Linked DNA regions of Drosophila melanogaster. Changing the gene in region 1 together with any one later gene gives a genetic interaction. Each region holds a gene or a part of one and is shown in the gene's direction. Other genes may lie near its edges.

Evidence for each region.
Region 2: of Arr2 (region 1) and Camta, changing one enhances a phenotype caused by changing the other (phenotypic enhancement), as found in Drosophila melanogaster (one study listed by BioGRID).
Region 3: of Arr2 (region 1) and Fatp1, changing one suppresses a phenotype caused by changing the other (phenotypic suppression), as found in Drosophila melanogaster (one study listed by BioGRID).

Annotation. Positions count from the first base shown.
Region 1 is NT_037436.4:8,646,553-8,651,355, reverse strand, and holds Arr2 (arrestin 2), read left to right. Parts: upstream 1-2,419; 5' UTR 2,420-2,530; coding exon 2,531-3,386; intron 3,387-3,453; coding exon 3,454-3,648; intron 3,649-3,710; coding exon 3,711-3,865; 3' UTR 3,866-4,095; downstream 4,096-4,803. Other genes in the region: Pex7 (peroxin 7), read right to left, coding at 640-814, 897-1,649, 1,718-1,809. UniProt on the Drosophila melanogaster protein: Regulates photoreceptor cell deactivation. Arr1 and Arr2 proteins are mediators of rhodopsin inactivation and are essential for the termination of the phototransduction cascade.
Region 2 is NT_033778.4:9,443,943-9,449,611, forward strand, and holds the start of Camta (Calmodulin-binding transcription activator), read left to right. Parts: upstream 1-2,103; 5' UTR 2,104-2,490; coding exon 2,491-2,569; intron 2,570-5,143; coding exon 5,144-5,669. Other genes in the region: ced-6, read right to left, coding at 731-741.
Region 3 is NT_033779.5:10,510,653-10,519,562, reverse strand, and holds Fatp1 (fatty acid transport protein 1), read left to right. Parts: upstream 1-2,344; 5' UTR 2,345-2,433; coding exon of another isoform or gene 2,434-2,568; intron 2,569-2,669; coding exon of another isoform or gene 2,670-2,747; 5' UTR 2,748-2,823; coding exon of another isoform or gene 2,824-2,970; coding exon 2,971-3,077; intron 3,078-5,998; coding exon 5,999-6,628; intron 6,629-6,693; coding exon 6,694-6,895; intron 6,896-6,954; coding exon 6,955-7,896; 3' UTR 7,897-8,891; downstream 8,892-8,910. Other genes in the region: Lrr47 (Leucine-rich repeat 47), read right to left, coding at 790-1,503, 1,565-2,137.

The DNA of each region.
Region 1 (4,803 bases):
CGATGGCTGGCACACCTTTGGGCAATATCCACCTTGTTGGCTGTGTCAATTCCGGGAATGACAGGGATTTCGGCTCCACTCGGGCAATAAAACGTTGCAGCAAATTAGCGCTTTATTGCGTGTTTGTTTGGTCAGAGTTAAGCCAACCGGATAAGGATGCCAAGTCAATCTCCGTCAGCGTCTGGCTGGCTCTTTGCCACCTAACCAATTCGAACTCCAATTCCGTGATCCGTTAAATTCTTGTTAAGACAAGGGCCGAGTGCAAATTATAGCCAGGGGCCAAGAAACTTATTGCGAAGGCCATAATAACATACAGAGCAGCGCAGAAAACCCATATAATTCATATAATACTCGTGATATATGTAAGCTTTTATTGACATTTTGAAGCACCTGCTTGAGGTTTTAGCCCGTTCAGCGTTTATCACACAGCTATTTACACGTCATCGTTGCGCCGATGAGTCCTTGTCTTCGGTTCCTTACAGTTCCTTATAGGCATTGCATATAGCTCAGCTATCGTAATAACGGTGCACCGCTTGTAGGCCTGGCTATTTCGACGCCACTAGCGCCTTATCACATGTGTTTTCGGTATTTAGGGAGTACCAGTTCCAGTTTCCAGTTTTGGGCATGCCCTGTACTAACCTAGACGACCAGATCACCGCTCAGACACTGCGGGGTATAAACGTTGGCCAACGAGTCCCAGCCACAGTCGGCCAACTGATGGGTCCTGTGGGGATTCCAATCCAATCCGCACACGAACTCCGTGTGCCGCGCATTGACCTCCTGGGCGGACTCACCACGCTCCAGATTCCAAATCCTAAAAAGGTGACAAAAGTGGACAGTTGTTACTAACCATAAAAATGTCCTGTTTTTTGAAAGCCTAAGATCATTCCACTTACCTTGTGGTAAAATCATAATTGGCCGATGCCAAGACCGCTGCCGAGTGCGGTGAACAGGCCAATCGCCGGACAGCGAATTCTCCAGAGTACAGCTCAAAGACGTGCGTCCTCATCTTGCGCAGATCCCAGCCGCGGATCAGACCGTCCGAACCTCCAGTGACCAGGACATTGCGATCGAAGTGCGACCAGTCGCAGCATAGTGCCTCACTCGCATGCGCCTCGATGCTCATCAGGGGTTTACCTGCAAAGTCAAGAGAGTTCCATAAGTTAAGATGTCCATCGGTACTTACGCTTGCAAACAGATTGGCGATCAGGGGCGAGAACTTGGCCCCGTAGATCAGATCGTTGTGGCCCACAAATGTGGTGATGGAGTTCTGTCTGTTGCAGTCCCACAATTTCAGTGTACAATCCCAGCTGCCCGAGAGCAGCGTGTGGTAGTTCCACTTCTCGCCCCAGTCCAGGCTGTACACCTCGTTCTTGTGCTCCTGCAGGCAGATCAGCGGCTGTTTCGGCGTCAGCTGGTTGCTCGCCGATTCGCCATCCAATCCGCACCAGATCTGAAGCGATCCATCTCCGGAGGCAGTGGCGGCGATATCGGCGGCATACGGACACCAGGCGACGTCGAACAATCCATCGGACCACTCTAGGCGGCACAGCTCTCCGAGACTCTGGCCATCTGTGGATGAGGAATTTGTGTTGGAGTTCTGTTCCAGCAGAAAGAGGGAACCACCTCCAGCAAGACCGTACAGTTGGCTGGGTATCGAAAAAAAATGGTTTTCTATTAGTATATTGTTGGTTTTAGAGCTTAAGATTGATCTCACCTTGTAGCTAGCAGCAAGTAGTTAGCCTCGAAAGGCGAAAAGCGCAGGCTATAGCCATGTCGGTCTGTGGTGGTGTGTGTCTGTGTCTGCATCTTGGTTCTAGATCTCAACTGCAAAGAAAAAAAAAGGAGAGATTCAAAATAATACCAATTTCTCTGGACCTTAAATATTATCTAACATTAACTACAATGAATTGCGACCTTTGGTAAGCTAGTTGTAAGAAATGCCAATTTCAATTATACCTCTCACATTAAAATCAATATATCGACGTTTGATACATAACAAAATTAAAAACATCTAAGGTTTCTCCTTGCTGCCCACTGATGTTTGGCTAAGAGAGAACAAAACTGGCCGATTGATAACAACCCGGTAACACCAAATCGGATGCTAATCCAGCTCCAACCTACCATGCTCAATTATTCAACAGTTGGCCAAATGACCTCGTACTAGGTCGGAAAATCGGAAAAAGATACTTGACATTAGCCAATTTGCTCGGGCAAGTGGCAAACTGCGCAGAAAATAGAACAACCCCTGGAAGCAGCTTGTTTGCAGTTTTCCCTTAGTTCCTATGGTTCTATCTTATTGTCGTGTTGGACAAGCCAACAAACAAGTGCATAACGAGCAAATCCAGTTAGTGGCCAGAATGAAGACCCACGGACAGGGCCAGGGCAAAGGTATATAAGCAGGTTGTACGGCACTTGGGTTTCGCATTTTCCTCCGCCGAACGGAAAACTCTATAACGCGCATCGCCCGACTTAGCCTCGAATTGCCCAGTTGCATTTGCCAGGAATCAAAGAAATCCACTAATCCACAATGGTTGTATCCGTGAAGGTCTTTAAGAAGGCCACGCCCAACGGCAAGGTCACCTTTTATCTGGGACGCCGCGACTTCATCGACCACATCGACTACTGTGATCCCGTCGATGGAGTGATTGTGGTGGAACCGGACTATCTAAAGAACAGGAAAGTCTTTGGCCAACTGGCCACCACCTATCGCTATGGTCGCGAGGAGGACGAGGTCATGGGAGTGAAGTTCTCCAAGGAGCTTATCCTGTGCCGGGAGCAAATTGTGCCCATGACCAATCCCAACATGGAGATGACACCGATGCAGGAGAAGCTGGTCCGCAAACTGGGCAGCAACGCCTATCCGTTCACCTTCCACTTCCCGCCCAATTCGCCCAGCTCCGTTACTCTGCAGCAGGAGGGCGACGACAATGGCAAGCCCCTGGGCGTCGAGTACACCATCCGGGCATTTGTGGGCGACTCCGAGGACGATCGCCAGCACAAGCGGAGCATGGTCAGTCTGGTGATCAAGAAGCTGCAGTACGCTCCCCTCAATCGTGGCCAGCGTCTGCCCAGCTCGCTGGTCAGCAAGGGATTCACCTTCTCGAATGGCAAGATCAGTCTGGAGGTTACGCTGGACAGGGAGATCTACTATCATGGCGAGAAGACGGCTGCCACCGTCCAGGTGTCGAACAACTCCAAGAAGTCCGTGAAGAGCATCAAGTGCTTCATTGTGCAGCACACTGAGATCACCATGGTGAACGCCCAGTTCAGCAAGCATGTGGCCCAGCTGGAGACCAAGGAGGGCTGCCCCATCACTCCGGGCGCCAATCTCACCAAGACCTTCTACTTGATTCCGCTGGCGGCTAACAACAAGGATCGCCATGGTAGGATTTGGATGTGATAGTTGTGATTCTGGATAGTTTCTAATGGATTATTTAATTGTGAACTCAGGTATCGCCCTGGATGGTCACTTGAAGGACGAGGATGTCAACCTGGCTTCATCCACCATGGTGCAGGAGGGCAAGTCCACGGGAGATGCCTGTGGTATTGTCATCTCGTACTCGGTGCGCATTAAGCTCAACTGCGGCACTCTGGGAGGTGAAATGCAGACGGATGTGCCCTTCAAGCTACTCCAACCGGCACCTGGTAAGCTTTAGAAGATTACTTGAACTTGACTTCTAGTTTGTAATTCCTTTGATGTGGTATAGGAACCATTGAGAAGAAGCGCTCGAATGCCATGAAGAAAATGAAGTCCATCGAGCAGCACCGCAATGTGAAGGGCTATTACCAGGATGATGACGATAATATTGTATTCGAGGACTTCGCCAAGATGCGCATGAACAATGTGAACATGGCGGACTAGGCCACCGATCTTCAATCTCTTCTAGCTCTGTTGTGAACCGAATTGAACTAAATCGAAAGCACTGAAAATTTGTTGCAGCAGTCTCTCGTGGAGGCCACAATCTTTGTATTATAATCGTATCTATAATGTAACTTTGGTGGATCTGGAGTTTGTACCCGTACATATGCATGTTGATGAGTTGAACAGACCTCGTGTCGCTATATTATAAATGTGTTATGGCTATCAAAAGCACTCACCTTTTCTCTCGTTTGCGATGTAGTATCCAAAAGTGATTCGGTAAGGATTCGGTTTTTGGTAGTGGATTGTTCTTGGCGGTGCTGTGGGTTTCAACTTCAGAAGTCGAATGATCTAAACAACTGCGCAGCTCGACGACGAAGGATCTGCTGGCAGGAATTCTAAGGGTGATTTTTCAACGATGACAGGGGGTTGAAAAGCCCAATGCTTATAGGTCACATCGTAGGCTTTCAACCCCTTGCAAGAAGCAACAGGCTGCCAGGATATGTGTTCCACCAATCAGGATCAACCAGAACTGGATATGGCCGGCTCTAACGGTCAACGGAAGTTCCAAGCTCCAGATGTTGACAATGCGTTTGCCAAAATACACAATTTTTGTGTATGCTAAATAGCCCAAGCTTTTGACCTTGATGATGGCTAAGGCCGCCAGCTGCCAGCAGTTTGATTCTAGGTCTCATCCCCGTCAGTCTAGCTGATTTTCCTCTTTTTTTTGGTTTTTTCTATTTTACAATTTTCTCGCATTTTATTTGCCATATCTTATATAAGCCCTGCAGCTGACCGTTGGAGCATTGCACAATCCGGGGCAGCAGCGTCGATCGATTTCACACACCGCTGACTGCTGGGCAAGTGACTTCCGGCTTTTGGCCAAGCCCCGAAAAGTGGCCAACTATAAATGGCTATGTTGTTGTCAAAATGCTGCCACA
Region 2 (5,669 bases), on another chromosome or scaffold:
AGGCCCAATTAGCCAAATAAAATGCATGAAACCAGAAAATACGTTTCTCACTCATTGTTTTATAAGGCGAAATGTCATTAAATGGTATTGTAAATATTTGTGCGCTGCAATAAAATGGCAGCCGAAGCCAGTTATTCTTGTTGCTTTGCAGCTCGTAGGAACGTGCTGGTATTTTTCAAGCGCAATCGCTCGCTCAGTTTTTCGGGCTTTTCAGCTTTTTCAGAGCCTGGGTGCGGAGCCGGTGTCATCAGCATAATTTACGTGCCGATGCCCGCCCCGCCGAGAGTCACGTTTCCACCTCACGCTCCTTATCACATGTCGACGAGCACGGGGAACACTGTAGGAAATCAAAAGTGGGGAGTACTGTCAAAGTGCCACAAAATGCATATACATATGTAAATAAGAAACTCAAAGCTGCAAATCAAACAAGCAACGCGATTCGGATTAATTCCAATGCCTAAATTATAGCCAGCAATGTAATGTAGCAATATTGAGAGAATATCATATTATCCTAACTATAGATATAAACATAAAATTCTAATTTCAGCTTTATTATGCTTCCCATAAGTAAACATTGACCTTCTTAATATACAATAACTGTCAAATTATCATTACAAGATAATTCAGAAGACAAATATTTTGTTTTCTGGGATCGCGGATTATCAAGTTGGCGGGTTCATTTAGCGCGTGTTGCCTGTGCTTCCAAATGAGCAGCGCTTATCTCGTTTACCTCTTGATCATCGCTTATCAGCGGGGCCCTGAACGCCCCCATAAAGGCACGACACACACACATACATACACAAGTGGCACGCACACGGACATGCACACATTTCGAGTAATTCAATTATTTTGTGTATTATTTTCAATGTGCAACAAAAGCGACAATAAAATAACAAGCCAGCGGCAATATACAGCCAGCAGCCGACTTATCACCGCGCCGTCGCTGTTGTTGCAATGCTTGTTGCTGCTGATGTTGTCGTCGATTTCAAACTGCTGGCACTGACTGGCACTGGCACACAGCTATGGCAATTATTCTGTGTTCGCTTCAGTCGCCCCGCCCGTTGATTTTGATAGAGCCAGAGCCCCGAGACTTCCGCTGGTCGCGGGAAGCGGAGGGAAGCGAGGCGGGGTCGGAAAACCGCGGGGTCGGCTGCTGGAAAAATCCAAGGAAAGTTCGGCGAAAGTCGTTGCCTATCAATGATGGGCGGTCTCAAGGGCTGTACATACATACAAACATACATATATTTTGATAGCTTACAATATACAAATGTACATATGCGAATTACACAAAATGTCATTTACATTTTACGCCCATTTTACTTCCCATTTGCATGCTCCTCTTAAAGGATTTTGACATATAACTTTATGATTGAACTAAGCTAAGAACTAGAATGGTATGTAATATTTTCCTTGGGTTCTAACAAAAGTCGCAGGAATAGAACTTCCTGCTCACGTCCAAGCAAACCAATCTCAGCGTTTTTAAGACAAATATGCATTATAAATTCATCAATCCTTCATTATTTATTTATTTAAGATAATATAACCGAGGCCATCGACTATGTACCTATATACTAATATACATCATTTGATTGAACTAAGATTAAAATTTTCGTAGACTGAAAGGGTATACTAGATTCGTTGAAATGTACATATACATATGTAAGTTAAAGAAGGGTGGAACCGTCAGCTGGACGTCGGCGGTAAACAGCGGACACGGCGGGATACATCGGAGTTTAAAATTCAACAGAAAGAAAATAATTATAAAACGTATAAAAAATGACTAACAAAACCCGGATTTGAAATTCAATACGATATTTTAAATATAGTGCCCGATTTCCGATAATTGAATGTTGGAGTTGTCATCTTGACCGATAAGCCGATAAGTGGAACACTTGGGGTGCTGCCAGATGGTTAGATATAGTTTAAACTAATTTATATCAAACATAGACTTGTAAGGTTAAGATTACAAGGTTATTGGCTTGTAAAGTATTCTTGCTTTCTTGTATAATAAGTTATCAATTTTAAAAAATTCGAAATCATTGTCGTTAAGTTTTGTGGGAGCTCGCCCTTTGCAACATCTGGCAACTTTGCCGTCATATGTTTGACAGTTTGACATGCACACAGTTTTGGAGTAGCTCAAAATATTTTCGCTATCGTTTTTTTTTAATAATTTCGTGTGTGAAACGGTGATATTATTGATTTTTGTTGCATTTTATGCATCGTCCAGCTGAAGCACATCGAAATCCGCCAAGGGACTCCACGGCTTGCGCACAGGGAGGCAGTGAAAAAGTTTTGTTTACCTTTTTTCGATATCCCAGAGTTCTGCGATTTCGGTGTCGCTGTGTGCGTGTGCGAGCGCCCATGTCACCTGTGTGTGTGTGCGTGCGAGCTGGTGTGCAAAAATGAAAATGCATTCTCAATAAAGCGAAATAAATGTGCCAACCGCTAAGAGAGTAGTGCATTCTAAAATTGGTTGTTAAAGCTGTGCACATGGAAAATGTGCCCGATATTTCCACCAGCGCTTCGTCCTCTTCTACTTCTAATTCAACTTCCACACTGAAACTCCAAAGTAAGTTAGCCCCAACTCCCCCTACCCCTATCACCCATCCCTCTTCTACATGCATATATGTAAGTTATATCTGTGCTGTAGCCCACGTATCTCCCGATTTTCGACCTGATAGTCGTGCTCTCCTCGATATTGGTTTTCCAATTAGTTTTTGTTTTGTTGTGTTTCGCTTTGCGTTGCGTTTTGTTTTCACGTTGTTGGGGGTTTCTTTGGGCCATTAACCCATTGGTGGCCGCTGTGCCATATTACGCCTTTCCTGTCAATACTGAAATCTCTTTAGTATTACGCCCATCTACGGTATTGCAAAGCTGGTTTAAAGATGGGAGAGTCTAATTGGAAATTCCTATGGACGCAATCAGCTGTTATCTGGATTCTTTAAACATAAATATGGCAACTCTGCTCGTAAAAACCGATTGGCGGGCTTCGAATTTTAGAAGTGTTAATAACACACTCTTAGTTGGTCATAAATTCATGAGTATAGATAAGATAAATGGAAACATTTCTTTTCCAAACACAAAACTAGTGACCTAAATGTTTATAAACAATGATTGTTTAAAAGATTGGAAAGTGGTCACAAAAAAATCCAAGACGTTCACCACTTTATTTAAATAATAAATATTTATGTCTAGACCCAGAGTAATAATCAGTTGCAGACTGATAAAGCCTATCAAAGTTCTTGTTCTTGTGGTTTGTTCATCTTTGATTTGTCCTCTTTCTTAACCCTTTGTCGGCTATCTATGTGCAGAATCTATTGACATATTTATCGAACTCTTTCCCCAGCTGGCAAATCTAACGCTTTTTGATTTATGCTTCTAATAAAAATTCAATAGACTTGCAATTTGTCCAGCTACCCAGAAACTTTTGTTTCCCCCCCAGTTTCCCAGCTAAGCAAGTGGAGTAAAGCACGTGGAGTACAACAGTGGGATTATATAGCACGATTTTTTTTTTTCAAAATCCTGTAATCAAACAAAATTTAAAGAAAAGAATTAAAAACAAAAAATATTTCAATTAAATTGATATTTCCTATTATAGGAATATTTGGTTTTAACAGCATTTATACATGAGAAAAACCCTTAAAAATAAATACGAATTAAAAGCAAATTAATTTTAAAATAATTACAACAAAATCATTTTCCATTCAAAATTCCGTTTTTATCTTCTGGTTTTCATTATTATATATATGTTGTATATTTTTTTTTTTACTTAAACTAACAATTGTCGTGCCCACTGTCCACATCGTTGCACATCAAAAGCCGCGACGAACGCAAAAATATGCGAAGCTTCAGCCAAGAGTGTTTTATGTGTTACGCGGCTGCCTGATCCCCGAGTGCCCCGAATCCTGGGATCTGCGTGCTGTTGTGGCTGGTCTGCCATACATTACAATGAAGTATGTGCGCTCGAATGGATGGCCAGCCAACAGCCAGTGGCCCCACCTATTCTATTCCGATCCTGGTCCAATTCAGGCGGTTTATTTTGCCTGGCGGCAGGCGACCTTTTTGCACAGACACTCCAAGGAAGGCGAAGGGGGCGCAGACACTTGTCCACTTGGGGTCAGATGGTCGCATGTGGCGCTTTCCCCTGCCCGCTTTTCTGCTTTTCCGCTTTTCCCCAAAGCACAGCCGACTGAAGGCGGCGTCAACGGCTAATTATGACCCGCACGTTTTTGCGAAAACAAACACACATGGTTTTTGGGGGTGTGGAAATACCCAGGAAAGGGTGCTGGATGCCGGCGGCGGGGGGAGGCGGGAAAAGCAGGGGAGCCGGACAAGTGTTTAGGCTACATTTCGAAATGTTTCCGGCGCGCACTTTACGTTCCGTGTCGCCTTCAGCCTTGAGAGTCTATATTTGGCAACGCATGCCAGGGCAGAGACCCCCATTTGCCTACACCCGTGAACCTACCCCATTACTTTCTCCTCCTTTCTTGGCTGAAAACTCGCTGTTTGTTTGTTGCACTTTTATTGCGTTTTGTGCTGGGGCTCGTCGGCTAAGTAGTCCTTCGTCCCTGCCATAAACATGTCGTCTTTCGCTTGATTTAGCGTTTGGCTACCGCCCATCCTCCCCATTTGTTGGCCAACAAAATAGAGTGTCCGAGCCACTGACCGCTCTAGGCATACGTCGCGTATACGTAATGCTCGACGTCCCTTTCAGTTCATTTTTACGGACCCTGGGAAAGTGCAACAATGGCAGCCACGCCTCCTGCCTCCCCTGTCACATGCGCTTCTAATGCAAGGCTTTCCAAATTCGATCAAGATGGAGTCATAAATCTTGCGCCGCTTATGAAGTTTCCATTGAATTTGCATACAATGGGGCTGTCCGTTTTTTGGGGCCACTCGAAATTGCTCAATTCGAGAAATCGAGAACAAAATGTTACAGGAGCACTTACACCAAAAATGAAACCAACACGCTGTTTAGATAACTTACAAATAAATAAATAAGATCTACTCTTTTTATACATCCAGACGTTCTAGGATGTACATTTTTAATTTTGTTGTTTTACCTGGATAAATACCTTTTATATATTGTATGTACATTGAATTGATTATTTAAGACTGATTTACTTTTGTTATTCCTTTCTAGGCCAAATCACCTCCAAAAATGTCTTGATCCGATCGCAGAGCAGTGGCAAGCTAAGCAGCAATGAAGCGAAATCAGCAAAGCCAGCAGCAACAACCAGTACAACGACGACTCTGCGAGCGGCCAAGCTCAAGATCGGGGCCATGCAACAGCAGAAGCAGCAACACCAGCAGCAGCATCAGGCCACGAGTGGCGGCAACATCATCCTGCTGCGCGGCACACGCAACGAAAATGGCCAGATCATCATCCAGAACAAGCAGGACATTCTTAGCCTGCTCAGCGAACAACAACAGCAGCAGCAGCAGGAGAAAAGTCACTCCTCCACGGCCATTACGCTCAACCAGCTGCCCACGGCCACAACGGTGGCTAGAAAGACCATTGTGCAGGGCTCGAGTGGAGCCGGCAGCAGCAGCAGCAGCAGCAGCTCCACCATTTCCATTGTGGCCAACAGCAACAACAAGGAGGCCAGTAGCAACACGATCCTTCTGCAAACCCCCATCAATGCCAGTCAGTTGGAGAGCGTTCTAAA
Region 3 (8,910 bases), on another chromosome or scaffold:
AAAGAACAGCAAGTGATAAGGAGAAGGCTCACAGGAAACATGAGGTATCCAATACTCGGATACCCTTTCAAGGGCTTAGAATATATAGAAATAATGTTCGATCACATATGTATCTTGCATATCTCTAAGGTATGACAAATATTAAACAAATAATGGGACTACATTTTTTAATAATTAAACCAAAAAGGTAACGGACACATAGGTAGTGTAGTCAAATGGATGGACGTATGTGGTGGAAAAGCAAGAAGGCACAAAGTGGAGTGAGTGGTGAGCCGGCTGATAAAAAATCGTTTATTCAAGTCACATACGCACGAAGCTTTTAATAATAAAAACAACGAGCTTCTGTAATACGAAAACAAAGTAAGCAACCAAGCGTGCGTGTGAATGTCTTTATGCCACGGAAATTGTGCCGTGAAGGAGGATTCACTGCATCCAAGGACTATTCAACTTATTGCCCAAAAGGAAAATCAATGCCTTATGCTCACATGTGTAGCATATACTCATTCCTTGGATACCTTAAATTACAACATATTCTTAAACTTCTGGTTATTTTGCACTTAAGCCTACTAACTTATAATAATCGTTAATTCGCATTTATTGGCAGTACAAGTATAACAAATACGGTGAATGAAAACATAACCGAGCAATGATTAATGATTAAGTATATAAAAATACGTATACTTAAATAAGTGCTCCGCGCCAATTAATTTTGGATCAATGATGTGGTTTAGTGAAATAATTTAAAGAAATCTTTGACTAATAGCTAAAAATGTACACCATCTGATTCAATCAGGAAAAGATTATATTGAAGAGCAACTTCAGTTCAGCAGATGCACTGCACCTAGAGTCACAGAGGACCACATCCGCGTAGATCTGATGCTCACGACTGTATGTGAGGTTCTTAACGGTGATGAATTTCGGCTGAACAACGCGCTGGAAGAGGTCCTCCTTGCGCTGGGCATAGCAGAGCTCGCCGCACGGGCATCTGGGAGCCTCCCTTATCAGATCTATTAGCACAGCGGGAATAGAGCCCGCGGACAAGGGCAGCATATACTTATCCACAGCTCGAGCTCCCAAAAGCCACAAAGGTTGCGGCGAATTAGATGCCGCCTTTTGCAGATACATTTGCTGCGCGGCATCTGCATTGAATTCCTTGAAGCAATTGCCCCACACATCCAACAGGTCGATCCGTAGATCCTCGACAGCAGAGGGCAGGGACTCTAGTTCGTTGCTGCACACATAAAGTTTACGCAGTGCTTTCATCCGGCGAATGGCAAAGGGCAGCCGACTCAGCAGATTGTTGTTGAGATTCAGCGATACAAGCGACTCGAATTTAACCAGCGGAGGTGGAAAGTAAGTCAGCCCGTTGCCCGACAGATCCAGCTCGCCGAGCGACTGACAGAGCTTAGTGCCCCGCAGCCAGCACCAGTCATTCTGAGTACCCAGTAAGTTGTTGCCCAGGTGCAGCGAGGTGAGCGGAAGACGACCCAGCTCCGAGGGAATCTAAAAGGCAGAATTAAGCTTAACTCAGTGGTCTAAAATGATAACTAATTAGTCAATCCACCTTGGTCAGCTTGTTACCGCTGACATCCAGCTTTGTGAGGTTGCGCAGGGTGCATATCTCGAAGCTCAGCTTCACTAGCTGGCTGTTGTTGATGGTCAGCGATTTGAGGGTGCGCGGAAATCCCTTGATGGGATACTCGCTCCGCTTGCTGATTACCATGCGCACCTGGGGCTGTGCCTTCTGCGGAATTGCCGTAGCGGCGTTTATGTTCAGTCTCAAATTGATGGCGTCCTTGCCATCCATGCCCAGCTTGAGGGTCTGCAGGAATCCTTTCAGCTGGATAGGATCGCACTTAATAAGCAGGTTATCTGGCGGCTGTATGAAACCAATGGTGGTCTTCCCATCCAGCACAAACTTGGTGTGCACGACATGAATGTTATCCTTGACCTTGTAGCGATTTCCAGTCTTGTTTTGTCCACTAAAGAGCACCATTTCCAGCTCCTTCTTGGTGTTTCCATTCGCATCCCTGGCGCTTTGCTTGTAGCCAATGGCCAGTGTGGATTTCACGGGACGTGGCGTTTTGTTCGTCTGGGTGGCGCGATTCACCACCTGAACTTCGCACAAAATCTTCATGGCGAGGCAGTGATTAGACAATAAACAAAAAAAAAACCCGCTAAATAAAACTAAACATTTGTTTTGGCCTCAAGAGTTGCCACCTGATGGTTGGGACAGCTGATGATATCGAGCAGCCATTCGATAGTTAGTGGTGGACCACATACCGATGTTTTGGATTTTAGGAACTAGTTTCTAAGAGCAGCATCAAAAGCTCTCGAAAAAAAAACAATTGGCGCAGGACAAGTTACAAAACCAAAACAAGCAACGGCAATTGTTTAAAAACTGCAAAGTTACTCCCATTTAAATACCGGAAAATGTTATTTCGCAAGGCTCGCCGACACTTTCTGCCGTTCTACATGTTCAATGGATTCTTGTGACAGCGCAACGAACGATATCAGCGTTTGCGTTACAATAGCTCAAATATTGGTCATCCGAGGCATGAGCTTACAGTAAGTAATGTGTGCAACATATGGAGCAAGACAGTGGTCATGCAATACAAAGAACACTCAAATTTTAAAAACTGAAATAAAATGCAAAAATGTTTCTGCAGCACAACAGCCTGTTGGACAACTATGCGAACAGCAATGTGATAATAAACATTGACAACTGCGCGCTCTACAGCACCAATGTAAGAATTTAAATCTCAAAACCCATTTCGAATACTAACGATCTTATTTTCTTTTCGCTGATCTGGCAACGCCAAGCGGCCAGCTGATCGAAAGTCGATAACCGACGGCTCGCACGATCGACAGCGACGTCGCCGCCAGCGGTTTTTAGTCATTTTTCGGTTTTTCTGCGCAACGGTCGCTTTCGGTTTGGCAATCGCCTGCGTCATCTACACGCTCCACACAATGGGCTGGATTTTTGCTGTGCTCGTCGCACTGGTGGCTCTGCTACTGACGAAACCCGGCTGGCGCTGGTTCTACATAGCGGGTGCGACCGCTAGTCGCGATCTAACGTGAGTGCTGCTCTTGTACAGGGAGGGCATACTGTACCCAAGACCAAGTCCAGTGATAAGTTTACAATACCGCCCCCGTGCGGTTTGCATTTCAATACACAACAACATCTTGGGGGCTTTTCTTTTGTGAATCGATTGAGAACATAAGCGAACTGAAAAATCAGCCGAGTGCGAGGTTCACTTCGTAGCCGAAAGTCAGAAACCACAGTGGAAAAAACTCGTTTTCCATCTATTTGGGTCGCCAACAGCAGCATTCATTTCCAGTTGGGAAAACCATAAAAGAGAAAACTTAACTGGCGAAATGATCCATGCGACATTGTGACGAATAGTCAACGCAAATTATTAGTTTTTGCCACTCGATTACGAGCAGTTTATTGACTTCTTCAGGTTCAAGGTCGCACAGCCCAAAAAAAAAAAAAAACCTACGAGAAACCAAAACAAAACTCGCTTTTATTTACCATTGACTTCATACGATCGTCGCCCAGCGAAACCCTCCGCGCATACTAATCGATCCGAATGCGATCGAGTGCGTCAGGCGGAAGACCACTGGCACACTAACCGATCTGTTCTTGAAAACGTACGCCAAAGAGCCAAAGCTTGGGTCATTATGATGGCGGAAGTGTCGCCTGCGTCTTGGAATTTTCGTTTTTCCAGGGTTGCCAGGGCTACTTACATTTTGAAATTTTGCAGAAAGGTTATTAAGTATTCAGAATTTTTAAGCAGCTCTTTACTTTTAAAATTGTTATAGTTAAGAATGTCTAGGACTTGGATATCAAAGTAAGTTTGCTAACCTCATAAATAGTATAAATTTAAAGAAATTACAATAATATTATAAACCACATAGATTTTTAATTTTTAAGTGATTCACTTTTTTATGGCTACAGTGGAAGTGTTAAGATTCCAGGGTTGCCACGGCAAGCCAAACTATACCAATTGTAGACCAAGCAATAAGCGAACGAAAAGCTTGTCAAAATTATGTATGTCTCATCAATATACTTTGTGTCGTCTGTCGTTACGATAATTAAAAAAGCGGAAGTGTCGCCTTTTGACTTGTGTATGTATTTTGAAGACGGCTATAGATATTGCTTTTTAGCACAGGTATTGTTAGTAATATACATTTTTACAACCAAAACCATCTAACCAAACACCTTAACTAATAGGAGCAAAATCTTTACACTTCATTTTAACTAAGTATTTTAAGATTCAATTAAGTTTGAATTGAGCTATAGCCTTCGCAAATATTCACACATTGCAACGCATTTTACAAAATTATGTTTGACCATAAATAAGGTTAAATACGTAAAGTTATAGCTATTAAAATAGCAAGTATTCTCAGCAGCATTTAATTTGCTCGGCAGTTTTCGCTTAATGAGTCAAACTCGGCAGATCAAGTTCCATGCCAAGGCCAACACTGGTTTCCCATTTACCCAGCTCGTCTATATGGCCATTCGTATATTTCGCGCTCACAACAGATTCTTAAGATCAACTTCAAGTCTGGCCGGTCAACCTTGGCCACGTATCGAAGTTTTTTGCTCGGCCACCAAGTAGACGAATCCAATCTGCGGGCAAACATGTGCAGCAACTCCAAAAGGAGCCAAGCAAACAAAGCACTCGATGGGGGTCATAAGGCCTGATTAAAAACCCTATAAATACGCGGCTAATGTGCGTTAAGCGCTAAGCTAAGTTAACTAGCTGTTACCGGCAATCTTATCGACACTTCACTGCCCCGTTGACGGTGCAAAGTACGCACGGGTGCAAAGCGAATTCAAATTGAGATCGTCGTTGTGGTCGAGTCCCAAGTCGAGTGTAGGTTTTTTTTCCCCCTTTTCTAATACAGTTCCCATCGAACTATTGTATTTGCGATTTGGATTAGTTCTACCTCACACTCTTTCCTATCGTATCAAATCTCTGTGGATCTTAAGTGCTTGCAAATGCCTTTCAGACCGTAGCATCAGCTCTTCTAGAACTTGTAGAGGAAACTATTAGTATTACAGAGGCAGCTCTTTATAGTTTATACAAATTAATACCGTGTAACAACTTGAAGGCATCTATCTTTATAAGAAATACACATGATTACAAAAAAATCAAATTTCTAAACTCACATTTGTCAATACAAGTGCAATTTATTTCAACCGCTAGTCAATGATAAACATTATCTGCCTTCGTTCAGTGTGCAGGTTTATTTATTTTGCCGATAGCTTCTTCAATATTGATAAACATGGGCCAAACAACAGTTACAGTTTAAGTATAAAACTCTTAATCCTCATAAGTGATAAGATACTAAGATGTGTAAGAGTTCTGTTCCAATGATTATACGATTGCAAATGAAAATATAAACGTCAGATTTAGATATCTGTAGCTATTGGTTAAGCTTTCTCCCGGAAAATTCAAAAGCCCTTGAAACTGGCTAAACAAATACGATTTTATCTCAACCTTCCCGTGAACTTTGCATTACTCAGCTCGAAATTAGCAGCGTCATTAAGTTGTGGCTCGCATGGTCGGACTAGGTTACCACGTTCGGATTGAATTGCAACCACTTCGAGCGGGTTTATCTCTGGGTTTATCGCATCACGGCTGTTGCGCTTGTCGAGCTTCGATTTCTGTTGGCTATTTATACAGACCCCAACCACTAACCATAAAACACACGCGATTGATGGCAAAGATAATGCCGGTACGGCTACTATCCTCGACTAGCCGCTAATCAAACACTTTCCCTCCAAAACTGAGTAACATATCAATATCCGTTGGTTATACACGTTATTTGTGGATTTTCCATTGCAAAGAAGATACGCTATCTTCAAAAATATTGTCTAGTCAACACACTTTTATATAGCACTAACTAATTTAGCATTGTTCGTTTGAAGATTCCTCGATTTATCAGGTTTGATATTTAATTTACTAATCAAATTTCCCCTTAACAGAGCTCTCTGGGCCTATATCAAGCTGCTGAGGTACACGAAGCGCCATGAGCGGCTCAACTACACGGTGGCGGACGTCTTCGAACGAAATGTTCAGGCCCATCCGGACAAGGTGGCTGTGGTCAGTGAGACGCAACGCTGGACCTTCCGTCAGGTGAACGAGCATGCGAACAAGGTGGCCAATGTGCTGCAGGCTCAGGGCTACAAAAAGGGCGATGTGGTGGCCCTGTTGCTGGAGAACCGCGCCGAGTACGTGGCCACCTGGCTGGGTCTCTCCAAGATCGGTGTGATCACACCGCTGATCAACACGAATCTGCGCGGTCCCTCCCTGCTGCACAGCATCACGGTGGCCCATTGCTCGGCTCTCATTTACGGCGAGGACTTCCTGGAAGCTGTCACCGACGTGGCCAAGGATCTGCCAGCGAACCTCACACTCTTCCAGTTCAACAACGAGAACAACAACAGCGAGACGGAAAAGAACATACCGCAGGCCAAGAATCTGAACGCGCTGCTGACCACGGCCAGCTATGAGAAGCCTAACAAGACGCAGGTTAACCACCACGACAAGCTGGTCTACATCTACACCTCCGGCACCACAGGATTGCCAAAGGCTGCGGTTATCTCTCACTCCCGGTGAGTGCAATAGCTTTTCTGAACTAAGTTTAAATGGAAAGGTTCTAAACAAATTTGTACTTTAGTTATCTGTTTATCGCTGCTGGCATCCACTACACCATGGGTTTCCAGGAGGAGGACATCTTCTACACGCCCTTGCCTTTGTACCACACCGCTGGTGGCATTATGTGCATGGGTCAGTCGGTGCTCTTTGGCTCCACGGTCTCCATTCGCAAGAAGTTCTCGGCATCCAACTATTTCGCCGACTGCGCCAAGTATAATGCAACTGTAAGTGAGATTTATGGCCTAACTAAATCACTCTCTAATTTGGCTTTTGTGATTTCCAGATTGGTCAGTATATCGGTGAGATGGCTCGCTACATTCTAGCTACGAAACCCTCGGAATACGACCAGAAACACCGAGTGCGTCTGGTCTTTGGAAACGGACTGCGACCGCAGATTTGGCCACAGTTTGTGCAGCGCTTCAACATTGCCAAGGTTGGCGAGTTCTACGGCGCCACCGAGGGTAATGCGAACATCATGAATCATGACAACACGGTGGGCGCCATCGGCTTTGTGTCGCGCATCCTGCCCAAGATCTACCCAATCTCGATCATTCGCGCCGATCCGGACACCGGAGAGCCCATTAGAGATAGGAATGGCCTATGCCAACTGTGCGCTCCCAACGAGCCAGGCGTATTCATCGGCAAGATCGTCAAAGGAAATCCTTCTCGCGAATTCCTCGGATACGTCGATGAAAAGGCCTCCGCGAAGAAGATTGTTAAGGATGTGTTCAAGCATGGCGATATGGCTTTCATCTCCGGAGATCTGCTGGTTGCCGACGAGAAGGGTTATCTGTACTTCAAGGATCGCACCGGTGACACCTTCCGCTGGAAGGGCGAGAATGTTTCCACCAGCGAGGTGGAGGCGCAAGTCAGCAATGTGGCCGGTTACAAGGATACCGTCGTTTACGGCGTAACCATTCCGCACACCGAGGGAAGGGCCGGCATGGCCGCCATCTATGATCCGGAGCGAGAATTGGACCTCGACGTCTTCGCCGCTAGCTTGGCCAAGGTGCTGCCCGCGTACGCTCGTCCCCAGATCATTCGATTGCTCACCAAGGTGGACCTGACTGGAACCTTTAAGCTGCGCAAGGTAGACCTGCAGAAGGAGGGCTACGATCCGAACGCGATCAAGGACGCGCTGTACTACCAGACTTCCAAGGGTCGGTACGAGCTGCTCACGCCCCAGGTTTACGACCAGGTGCAGCGCAACGAAATCCGCTTCTAAGAGCTGCAATAGAGTTGTGTCTGAACCTTGCCTTTTGCCCAATATGCTGTTAATTAGTTTGTAAGGCTAAGTGTAGTAGAGGAAAATCGGGGGAAATCGGCAGCAAAGATCATTCAGCCTAGGAGAGATGCATCCGAAGCACATTTCCATGTCAACAATGCACTTTTGTATATCGTAAGCATATATATATCGTATATCGTAAACGTAGTTGTATCTGCATTTGTGTAGATGATAGCCTCCTATACGCATTTCAATTGTTTTTAGCGTGCTAAAGAACCTTGTTAAATGCAATTTCAGCTATTGTTTAGTCAGTTTTAGTGGCATTTACACTTCCATTCTCGTTGCGTTTCGTTTTTGCCTGTACATATGAGAAGCTCTGATGTTTTTGTATCAAATAAAGTTTATTCCTTCACCACGGACCACGTATTTAAATTCGCAGTCTATCGTGCGGCAGAATGACACCATTCCACCTGCATACAAATGATTATGTGCGATTCGCTCCTCGACTCTCCGATCTATAGAAATGCATAGAGATATACTTACACTCATACCCATGCTGTGAGTATTCAATTAACCAAACTTGAACCTTGTCGACGTTCAAGTGCATGAAATTAACGAGAATTTTTAATAGCATTATATAATAATCTGTGAATCAGCTAACGACAATAACGTTTAATAGAAGATGCGCCCTTAATTTAATTATGGTTCTACTCCGCTTTCTGTGATTTTTGAAAAGTTGAGAATATAACTACTCACTGCTTGCTTACTCTTTCATTATCGCACTATTAGAGATACCCATTTAATGGACAGCAATTAAGGGGTAATTATATTCTAGCAGTTAGCTTGTTTAAGCCAGTGCTAGTATTGGTAGCATCATTCAATCAGAAAACGTTTCAAATCTTTTTGATATTTTAGAAGAATAATGTAACACAATGAGTCTTTCTTTCAAAGAAAAACCAAATAAAGTACTTACACATCCACTTTTAAGAGAACTTAAAGAATATCTCAATTTCT